Astyanax mexicanus: one gene and its partners. The protein of the gene in region 3 binds, or shares a complex with, the protein of the main gene of each other region. Links are inferred from orthologs where the notes say so. Each region holds a gene or a part of one and is shown on either strand. Other genes may lie near its edges.

Region 1 (3,754 bases), on a different chromosome or scaffold from region 3:
ATAAGAAATGACGTTGTGGCCTGCTCTGTGGCCTGCCAGTGTTAAATCAGGGTTAAAGTTCTTTACCAAATCATTTTACTTTATATTTTACATTCATATATTTTCAAAAAATGGTTAATCTCACTGGAGATGCACAAATTAGTAGCAAGGAACAGGCCCACGTCTCTACCAACACACCACCTCACCAAGGTTTTGTCAAAAAAAAAAAAAATATTTTGCTGAGCCTTGAATAACAATTTTGTAGCACCTTTAGTTTTAAGATTAAAGTATTAACATACAGTATAGCAATACATGACATTTTTTGTCCCAGAATTCCAACAACACTATATAAACTGAAGTCCATGTCCAGAGAAATGCGCTTTCCCTTCCGGGCTGCTGCTCACAGATTTATCTGATCATATGTGACATGCCTCCAGTCCATATGTCCATGCCAGCACACGTCCTTTAGTGAAGCACATCAACGCTTAGGTGCATCTGTTCTTACACAGTTTTCTCTCATCCTTTCGCCACGATCTCCCCCTCTTTCTGTACACTCACTGCACCATCTGCCGTTTCCTCCTCTACCTCCATCACCAGCGCCTTCAACGAATCTCTGTGCAGTCTCTCATTCCTCTCAGTCTCCTGCACTGAAGGGGGAGCTGTGGCCACCAAAGCCGGAGAGAGATGCTTAAACTCTTCCTCGTTAATGTCATAGTCCTTCATCTTCTGGTGCAGTACCCACCAGCGTCCAGCGAAGCCCACGTCCAGCATGCGCCCGGGCAGCTCTGCCCAGGGCACAGACAGAGCCGAGCACTGAGCCTCGTACAGGCTGCTCTCAGGGTCGTAGCTCACCACGTAGGTCACCGAGGCCACGCCCAGACTAAGGTAGCGCAGTCGACCTTCATTACGCAGCCTCACCAGGTTCTGCACGTGACCATCTGACATCCCGCTTCGTATCCATGGTGACAGAAGGGCCAGTTTATTGGAGGTTTCTAGCAGATCAGTCTGGAAGGACGTGTCATCTGGATTTGTTCGATAACAGAAATACGCCCCCCCCAGCAGGACCGCGTAAGCTGAGGCTTTAAAGGGACGCTCCCGTGCTCCAACAACCACCTCCCGGCAGGCCTCCTTGTAGTCACCCAAAAGACTACGGCACCACACACCTGCAAAAAGGACATTTTAACTGGTTTTACTGGAATAGGATTTTATAATAGCAAAACATATGAAAACCAAAAATATTGATTTTTAATGGTTAATTAACATGTCTACTTTTAATACTCCTACCAAAGTAGAGTGTAGAGTAGAGGGCAAAACCTTTACTAAACTCTACTAGATATCTGCAGTTTCTGCAGCAGTGCACAATATGAACATAAATGCAACATACGATGACACCGTATCCCAAAATGAATGTGGAACACAATAAATTAAGAACATAAATTAGCTCTTTAAATGTTTTTAAAAATGTTACTTTTATTTTATTTTGTAGTAGTTTGGTGTGTGCTCTACCACTAGTGGAGCTCTACTCTGCCTCTAGTCTAGTTAGGTCATGTAAGCACAGTCTGCAGTGTGAATAGCTCCCTCTGTGGATGTGGAGGGTTTGAGAATTCAGTGTGAACTTAATTATTAAATGTGTTATTTTCTTTCTGTCAGCCATAGCTGAAAATCATACATCTCATTTTTACATTCCATTACATTACTGTTGTATTTTTCTACTAACACAATGTCTTCTATTGTTTGGACTTTTTTCGACCCAGTGGAATTAAACTAAACAGGAATGATAGTAAAGTGAATTAAACCCGATATAGAATACCATATTCTGCAATTGTTCTTCAGTAAGAGCAGGATGTGACACTAAGTGGATCTTTTTGCCTGATTTTATTAGATGGCATTTTTGATACATCTTACTGATCCTCTCTCCTGGTTTTGAATGTGCTATAAGCTGTAAGGTGCCACTTCTTTTAAAATTTACAAGTAAAATAATTTGTTAATATCTATTAATCTATCCATATATCTTCGATATTAAATTTACAATGTAAAAAAAAGAATGAAAGAAGTGTGTCTTTCATGTGTCTAATAACCTAAAAGACCTTGGTAATGGAGATGCAAGAGCGTTTGTGTTAAGAGGAGAACATATATTTCAGTTTTGACCTACAGTTAGTGTTAAACATGTGTTTATTCTCACCATTTGGGCATAATTAATATAAAATTAAATTAAGGATCAGAGTTTCTACTGAATTATATTATGTTATTATTATATATATTAATTAACTGATTCTACTGTCGGGCAGTAGACTGCTTCTCCTCTCCAGTTCTGCAGTAGATCAGCAGCTGCTGATCGGGTTAATAATAAAGAGTATATTTAATCTGTATGTCTCGGTAGGTAAAGCGCTCACCCACGCGGCCGCTCTTCAGCCTCTCCCACCGGCTGCCCTTGCCCTGAGCCTCCGCTGCGGTGGAGCAGAGCCTCCTGAAAACACACGAGGCAGCCATGACAGTCCGAACACACGCTGATCAGCGGCTCAGTGCTCTCAACTCAACCGGAACCGATACCGCCGGCTCTGTTTCCACACGGCCCCCCCACACAACACGCCCACTGGCGAAACCACTGAGCCGAAATGGCGCAGGCTCGGTCAAAGAACCTGTAGACCACTTTAAAACCTCTTTATGTCAGACCACCAGAGGGCGCTCCCGAGTCCTAAATGAATAGGTTCAGATTGTAAATGTTTGCTAAATTTTTAAACCGAAAAATGTGATTAGTTCCTCAACATATCAAATGTTAATGCCAAATACAAACTTTTAAAGTCCACTTGGAAACATTTAAAACATGTGCTGGCTGTTACTTCAGCACTTCTGTAGCAGTGATGCTACCAAATCTGTTGTTCAAATTACGAAATTACGAAATTTAAGCAATATCCTGGACACGTAGTTAATGATCGTTTTTACCGAGTTTTTAACCATTCAACCCCCCTCCCTTTATTTATGGCTCACTCGCAGGCTCCCTCTAGCGGTTATCCCTTATTTTCTGATAACGGAGGAGAGCGGAAGTAGATAGGCTTGCTCTAAACCAGCTCTGGCGTGGTTTGGAGTTGGTGGTCCGATAGGGGGACCATATCAACGGTTTTTACGTTCCACTCTGATTTTTCTCTGTCAGTTTTTTTCTTCCTTTTTTAAAAATTAGGTTTTAATTTTGCGATCAGGGGATATGGATTTTAAAGTATAGGTGTAAAGGATTGTATCTCCTTTTTGCTAGCATTACTGTTACTGTGTGCTAACTGATTGGTGTGCTAACACTGGATTTACAAAGCACATTTAGTCAAAGCACATTTAAAAGGCTTATAAATTAAGTTTAAAAGCTTGAAACATTTTATATAGTTATGTGTTAATATATATGCGTATATGTATACGATTTACTCGCGAGCGTCCTCTGGTGGACTGTCAAATCCAGAAGAGATTAATAAGTGGGTATTCTCCTCTGTATAAGCTCTCTGCTACAAAAACAGTTAACTTACAGATTTCTGATTCTGAACACAGAACAAAACATTTTAAAAACTTAAAACCCGTCGTAATCTGCCACAGATACACAATGTGCCGTTTCCGTGGTTTTCATGCTTTATTAATAATTCGACTTAAGATTATTTTAGTAAAAAAAAAAAGTACAATAATTAGATTTATTATATTTTAGTCAATATAAAAAAAAATATTATAAAAAATATTTAACTATTAAATCTGCTAAATAACTAGTTAAAATGCTTAGATTTAAAATAAAATCGCGTTT
Region 2 (3,754 bases), on a different chromosome or scaffold from region 3:
AGTGCCTAGGTGTAAACAGGCTAAAACTTTCTTCAAGCAGAACAGATAAACCATTGCACAGCCTGTGCAGCTCTTGTCTTTTGCTGTTTGTGAATTTTTTAACCATACGCTAACACAGCAAGTAAGCTCAAACTGCACTGCACCTAGCATTTATCTTAGTCACTTTTTTTTAGACATGAATAGCACAGAATATAAAGAAGTTATCTTGCTGCTTTTTTATTCTTGTTAGATGCAAAGATTTACATTTAAAAACAAACAAACAAAAAAACACTATCTTCACATTTTGCCCAAGCCATGACCAAGTCTATCGAGCCTCTTCCTCCGGGAGAATCTTGGGAAACAAAGGTCCTACCAGTGCTGAGGAGCTGAACCAAACAGAGAACCTTGACAGTGTGCGTAGCCATGTTGTTCCAATATGGAGATTCAGCCTCCTAATAGGCATGGTGAGAATTACAGCCTGAGGATATCAGAGTCCGTAAGAAAACACAGCAATAGACTACCGTGGCTGGCCTAGTAAACCAGCTTTGGCTGCCAGAGCCTCGTTCTGTTGGATGTGATACTCCTGGAAGCGCATGGAGATCCGCTGGGTCATTTTTAGATACTTCTGTAGACAGCTCTCAGAGCACGAGGTCTGAAAAGAACAAGATACAAGAGTGATTTCCAATTTTTTATTCAAACATACTTAAGATTTATTCAGACAGGCATCTCCAAACTGATTTAGTTTAGATCATTAAAGATTTTAACCTAAAACCTGTTTCATAAACCAGATCCAGCAATGTGCTGACTGGGTCAGATGAAAATCTCCCTCTTGCTGCCAAAACAGCTTTGACCGGTCAAACTGACCAGTCGGGCTTGGACTAAAGATCTGGCAGCATTAACTTTAAGTAATATAGGGTTCAGCAGTTCTTCTGTGGGATTAAACCAGACAGTTTAAGTTTGCTCACCACACACATCAGTGAGCCTCTGGGACTCATGACCTTGTTACCAGGGTTCCTTAGTAGCACTTTTGATAGGCACAGTAACATTTTTTGAGATGCTGACACCCAGTCATTTAGCCAGTTTTTTTTCACATTTTAGTGCTTTTCCTGTTTTTTACTGTTGATTTTTTTGTATTTTTATATTCTCTTCTGTTTTTTTTGTGTATAGATTTCATATATTGTTTGACACTTCTCCTCTGCTGTAACGTAGCAATTTCCCTGCTGTGGAATTAAAGGATTTTCATATCTTTGAGTATGAATACTGGTACACAGTGTAATGTAACATACTGTTATTATAGTGGGTATTCTGACTATAATTAATGTGGATCACGAAACAGCACTTATGGTTTGAATGGATTCTGCCAGTATACTGCACAACAAAAACTGATCACCTATATAAAAGGATTAACACATTTATTTACAGAACTTTATGCAGAGTATTTAACAACTGCATATTGTAATAAGGTCTAAAGTGGTATGGAAAGTTTCGGTTTGGATATGGATTTTTATATTGTCACCAACCCTGCTCCTGAAGATCTGCTTTTCTGACAGCATAATCCCTCAATAATTTATTTCAGAAGTTTAAATGGGCCTGAAGTGAAAACCCTCCCGTTTCTTAAAGCAAACACTTAACATGTGTAGTATTAATCTTGCCTAGTGTCTTACCTCTTCTGCCTTCACTTCTCTAGTAGTGAAATCTTTAACACAATCCATGAAGCAGTTCTCTGTCAGCTTGTTGTAGGTGCCCAGAAATTCCTTGAACTGAAAATCAAACCCAAGCAGAACATAAAGGAGAATTCAGTGATGTTTAAGTGGATAAAGAGACGCTTATGTCTGTAAAAGGTAGGGTGTACAGTACCTGTTTGATCTGGTCTGATTCTGTAACTTGGGCAGCCATAGTTTAAAGAGTGGACTCTGGAGAATAAACAGAATTAACAGAAAATGATTTAACCGAAATTCCACAATGACATCTAACAACACAAGCACTCTTCATTTAAACTATATTTATTAATATGAATTCATAGCACAAGTTACACTTTATAAGCAGCATTTTTATCTCGCCAATAAAAACAAGAAGTATTTTAAACGGCCTAATAAAAATAAACTAATAATACTACATAGTATAAAGTCTATAACAATTAATTCCCCATACTGGCCCTGCTGCTTATTCTAGCCACCATGCAGTGAGCGTTAGCCTTCTGCTCTATACCTTATTTCTTTAGCTGGTTAGCAGCAGCAGCAGCAGCAGCGGAAGCCCACAGACACTATACAAATAAATTACGCTGCTCTGTATCATAATGTTTGTAATTTAATAGTGTAAACGGTACAGAGCGAAAACCCGTCGCTACATTACCTCAGTCTGCACCTGGAAGCTCGAGCCTGCGGACCCTCTCTGAAGGACATGTGACGCTGTGGACAAGAGAAAGAACAACCGGCGCTTCACTGCGGCACTTTCGCTGCAACAAGGCAAATTCATTCATTTCTTCACGATGATTGATAAATATTAAAATGTAAAATTGCTTTTAAATATTTTGATATATTTAAAATAATTGAAAGAAACATGTAACAAAAATGATTAGTGTATAAACTGTCTCACTGAGTTCTGAAATAATAATATATTCTCTAAGTCATATATTTACACGAAAATGGCTTTTGAAATCACACTATAGATCATCTATAGGTCGCTGTACGTTAGTGACGTACAAAAGGAGGCGAATTATAACGTTTTATTTTTTGCACTAAAATGTAAAAGAACTGTAAGAATTTGTGATGAACTCTCACTTGCCTCTGGTTAATATATAATTTTATTTATTTTGATTTTCTTTCTTTTTTCCTTTTCTTCAGTTTGTATATTTTTAATGCTGTCTTCTATCGTTGTTTCTTGTATTAACCTGAAACTTTAAAGAATACAATATTCAATATTGTTTACTTAGGGATATAATCACATATAAATACACACACACATATAATAATAATAATAATAATAATAATAATAATAATAATAATAATAATAATAATAATAATAATAATAATAATAATAATAATAAACACGAATATAAAAAAATAAAATTAAATAAAATCAAAATAAAGGGACAAGCAAGGGGTAAATTTAAGGGCATTTTTACCACCCATAACTTTTAAAGATTTATAGTATAAGGCTAAATCATTTCTAAATGCTAAGTTTTAAAAAAATGCGCTCATGTATGTAATATTGTTAACTACAAATGATCTGTATGTCTGGGCTTTCTTAAAATAGGAATCATTCTTTTTAAATTAACAATTTATAAAGATTATAACATAATATAATAATAACATACACACTTTTCGGTTTGAAGAACTATTTCTGAACGTTACACTTAACATTCTTGGGAGGTTCAGTCCGTGATTTGTTTTTGGATGTTCTGGATGTGGATATGTCAGTGTTTTAATTTGTAGTTTTAGAATATTACTTTTAGTGTTATGGAAACGTCGTCTATCTGGAAACGTTTTAATACCGTTGTGATGCAAACCATTATTGTGTCACACCTTTTTTAAGAACGTTCCTAGAACATTGTTTCTGTAACGTTACAAAGTTACCGTTCTAATAACGTTAGCTGTCAGCTGGGGGTGCAGCTTGCAGGGCGAGGTTACTTTTATTTTGAAATTGAACTCAGTGGCGCGCGCTGCGGTTTCTGAATTCATATCTGTTGTCAACTTTGTTGTCAGCAACAGTTGTTGTGGATGCAGAGCAGTAAGGCATTATTAGTTCAGTTTCAGGTGTAGTTAGTACAGTGTTC
Region 3 (3,754 bases):
GAATCTCAAATGTAAAAAATGATTTCCACTGTGTATTCATAAACACACAGGAAAATAAATACCAGAATTTTCCACTGACATACACAATATGCTCATATAAGCATGATTACTAATATCAGAACTCCAAACAAATGCCTTCAAAAGTAAATTTTCATGACCATCCACTCTTTAAAACATCAGTACAGACATGGAAAAATTTAAATAAATAAAAAATCCATGTCAAAACTGATTATAGTAGGCCTATATTTTTCCTTAAAAAAAACAAACTTTGAAACATGACATTTTACTAGCTGAATAACATTTCTGCATATTTAGTATGTCAATGCCTTATGATTTACTGATTAGCTCACAATTGACTTTTTAAAATTTTTCTAGGTATTTTAATTTTTCCAAAACTTATCCAGGCCTGGAAATTTCTATGTTCAAATTCCATGACTTTTCCAAGTTTGTTATGACCGTACGAACCCTGTATACAGGGTTTAATTAAAAAAGAAAAGAAAAAGAAAAGTAGAATTAGTTCTGTTAAAGCCCACACAAACTGAAAATTTGGATTTGCAATTAGTGTATTTAAGTTTTAATCTGGCAGTACTGTTAGTTATTTTTGCAGTATGTGAAAAACATTTACGAATTCTAACAATAGTTTTGCCATTTTGCCCATCTGACTTTAAAATATACTCTTCTAAGGGTCATCTATCTCGTTTATGTAAATAAGCAACAAGGACCAAATATTAAAATCCTTACATTCATTCCTGAAGCCATGTGATCCATAACAGCCCGAGGGATTCAATTTTTTTTTGTACCACAGAAAGATCAATACATGCCGCTATCACCGTTTAAACAGTGGTGTCACGGCAACTATTTGTGATCAGATACCAGCCATGAGAATACATGATGCATTCAAAGGGAAAGGACATCTACAATAATCTACAATCTACAAGACTGTCAAATAGGAATGTTCCTCAGCTAATATCCTACTGAACAGACTTAACTCTGAATTTAAGTTCTGTTTAAATCTGACAGAGAAAGGCTTTGAACAGTTCCCAATCTGCCGATATATACTCTGCTGGTATCAGCAAACCATTTCCATTCAGACCTTCTGTAGCAGGCCCAGAGCTTCTTGAACACATAGCGAAATTAACTCTGGATTCTGGATCTGTCCTCCTGTTTGTTTTGTAAACATCCACCTTTAAAATGTTAGGACTACCCTTGTGAAAATGAAGTATACTTAAGAGTATTAAAAGTATGTTTAAATTAGGTAAAGAATACTAAAAGTGCATTTTCAATTTAATATACTTTATGAAAATACACATTAAATAAACATTCTCTGTATTTCCATAATTAATATATAGTGGCATTAAATACTGCTCAAAGTGCATTTTAGTGTGTTTTTCCCCCCAGTACTATTAAGGTGTACACAATATGGGCATCAATAAGCAAAGTAGTACATTTATAATATACTTCAAGTGTATTAAAAACAAATACCTAAATCTACTTAGGTTTGCAGAAGTTGTACGAAAAAAACACTCAAATACAAAATGTAATGCTTTTATGTTGTGTTTAAATATAGCTTACCTTTAATTACAACTGAAATATACTCAAGTTACTACAAGTACTATTGCCAAAGTAGCACATTTAATATGCATTTAAGTACATACTTTAATTTTAGTATGTTTTTTCCAAGTTAAGTATACTTTTAAAATATATATACTTAATTCACTTGCAGTTCTGTGATGTATTTAGATGGTGATTTAAACTCTTAATGCCAAAGCGTATACTCAAAACGTGTAGAGTGGGTATGTAGAAAACTCGTGGCTGTCCTGCTCAAATTTACCATCATTGTACCTAATTGACTAACAATTTAAATCTGGAGTGTCTGAGCAAGGAAACCACTGAGTTATGCTGGATGTCACCCTTTAGTACCTGTAAGTAAGTGGGGGGCTAATTACCCTTGAGGTAAAGAATGCTTTTCTTTTAGGGGTGACCTGACTCGTGAAGAATCATTGTTGCATCATTGAGGAGGACACACTGAAGGAGAAGGAGGTCACGGACCTTGACACTATTGGAAACGTTTGGGCTGCTCATTTACTGTATTTTACCATGGGAAAATCAATTACAAGATATATTTATAAAACTCTACAATCATTCTGCTATTAGCTGCAGAGTGGCTGCAGTTCCTTAGTGATAAAAGAGGAGGAGCAGCAAGGAATCTTCAGAAGGTATTGGGTTAGAATTATTATTAGAATCCCCCATTCAAACTAACAAGATTACACTAAGCTACCATGCCAAATGGCTGGTGGTCTATAATAGAAATGTTTATCATCAGTGTTTACCAGAAGAACAAGTTATGTAGAAACTAAAATATTCTACAGTCTAAATACTAGTCAGCTTGCTTTAACAGCTAGCAATGCATTTAAACAGTAAAACAAAAGTATATCAATGTGCTGCACCGTTTAAAAATGTGAATATTAAAAAAAAATGTTATGTATGCAAAGGAAACAAAGTTAGAAAAATCAAGATTATGGTTAATAAAGAGAGGAATACAGAGAAGAGCCGAACCCCCGGACTCAATCAAATGATTCAGTGGCTAAACCCCATGCTAGGCAGGGTAACAAAGCAAGCTAAGCTAGTAAAGTACAGGCTGTTCATATTACCGGTTATACATGTCTGCCATCATCTCCACCTCCAGCTCCGCCGCCAGCTGCTGTGCCTTCATGGGGTCCATCTCTGTAGCTGGGGTCTCCGGCTTCTCCTCCACCGTGGACTCTCCGCTTCTCACAGAACCGACAGCGCGTTTAACCTTCAGAGCCGGAGAGCTGCACACGTGGGGCCGCCCAGCTCTCACACTGCTTCCTGGGTCAACATGGCTCCCTCTGATTCACTGCAGTTACCACTCTGAACCGACTGATGTCAGTGTTGTGCAATAAGGTTTTTTTATTTATTATTTTTTAAATATGCCCTTTAAACCCCTTAACAGGCCTTGCCTCGTAAGTTGATAAAAAAAAAACATTTTTTTGTAGAAAAATAACTTATTTACATTCTGAAAAATTGCACAGGACACTTGGAGAATCTGCCTGTTTTCACTCTAATGTTCCTTATGAAACATGAAAGCTTTTTATGTAATGTTTAAATAGAAACACTCAGGATTTAGTGGCGTAATGTAAGGAAGACAATTGATAAAAAAAAATCCTGGCCTGTTAAGAGGTTAAACAACTGTGCAAACATGCATGTGCTCTTTCTGACTCTGGCTGCTGATAGCAAAAATACTCTGGGATTCAAATGGGCAATTCCGTAACATTTTTTAATCTTTCCCAAACATTATATAGCCTTTTTGAAAGAAACAAACAACCAAAAAAATATAAATAAAATTAAATTAATAAACTATAAAAATAAAAAGAGAAATCACAGTATTTTGTGGCCCAGTAAAATACACATCCCTGTTGAAAAATCCAGCTCAATCAGGTTCTGATAAATTTGAGATTTATCAGCTGGTCTTTAAGATGCTCAATTTGCAAATCTGCAGTCATCCTGCTTGCCATCAGCAGCCGGAGTCAAAGAGAGCACAACTGGCTATGCTCTCCCCCCTTTATCACTACCATGATGATGTCGGTCAGCAGCACAGGTGTCTGTTAGCTGATGTATCTATCAGAGCTGGGTTGCTGTATGTCCACAGAGCGATGGGAGCATTACTAGGGACAGTGGTAGTCCTTAAGAGTTTAGAATTAGAAGAAAAAAAAAGTTGAACCAGCTTTTGACC

Evidence for each region.
Region 1: the proteins of timm10 (region 3) and timm29 are in contact, whole or in part, in a cryo-EM structure (PDB 7CGP), measured with the Homo sapiens proteins. The link is inferred for Astyanax mexicanus from reciprocal best matches to the Homo sapiens genes TIMM10 and TIMM29. Residues at the interface, in NP_036588.1 of Homo sapiens: His30, Arg31, Lys32, Cys33, Pro35, Pro36, Leu43, Ser44, Lys45, Gly46, Glu47, Ser48, Val49, Arg53; in NP_612367.1 of Homo sapiens: Asp181, Asp183, Ile184, Asp186, Phe189, Leu192, Leu196, Arg197, Val199, Gln203, Leu204, Ser206, Asn209, Glu210, Leu212, Phe213, Asp214.
Region 2: the proteins of timm10 (region 3) and timm9 are in contact, whole or in part, in a crystal structure (PDB 2BSK), measured with the Homo sapiens proteins. The link is inferred for Astyanax mexicanus from reciprocal best matches to the Homo sapiens genes TIMM10 and TIMM9. Residues at the interface, in NP_036588.1 of Homo sapiens: Glu16, Met17, Asp20, Met21, Arg24, Ala28, Cys29, Lys32, Cys50, Arg53, Cys54, Ser56, Lys57, Tyr58, Asp60, Ile61, His62, Arg64, Met65, Gly66, Lys68, Leu69, Leu72; in NP_001291414.1 of Homo sapiens: Lys15, Leu18, Gly19, Tyr21, Asn22, Lys23, Thr25, Glu26, Cys28, Phe29, Leu30, Val33, Asp35, Phe36, Thr37, Thr38, Arg39, Glu40, Val41, Glu45, Thr46, Glu50, Leu53, Leu57.

What each region holds. Positions count from the first base shown.
Region 1 is NC_064426.1:9,774,254-9,778,007, reverse strand, and holds the start of timm29 (mitochondrial import inner membrane translocase subunit Tim29), read right to left. Parts: upstream 2,562-3,754; 5' UTR 2,470-2,561; coding exon 2,373-2,469; intron 1,143-2,372; coding exon 496-1,142; 3' UTR 1-495. UniProt on the Homo sapiens protein: Component of the TIM22 complex, a complex that mediates the import and insertion of multi-pass transmembrane proteins into the mitochondrial inner membrane.
Region 2 is NC_064421.1:18,426,251-18,430,004, forward strand, and holds timm9 (mitochondrial import inner membrane translocase subunit Tim9), read right to left. Parts: upstream 2,426-3,754; 5' UTR 2,332-2,425; intron 2,243-2,331; exon of another isoform or gene 2,188-2,242; intron 1,893-2,187; 5' UTR 1,876-1,892; coding exon 1,837-1,875; intron 1,740-1,836; coding exon 1,644-1,739; intron 632-1,643; coding exon 497-631; 3' UTR 193-496; downstream 1-192. UniProt on the Homo sapiens protein: Mitochondrial intermembrane chaperone that participates in the import and insertion of multi-pass transmembrane proteins into the mitochondrial inner membrane.
Region 3 is NC_064414.1:44,296,224-44,299,977, reverse strand, and holds the start of timm10 (mitochondrial import inner membrane translocase subunit Tim10), read right to left. Parts: upstream 2,876-3,754; 5' UTR 2,723-2,875; coding exon 2,652-2,722; intron 1-2,651.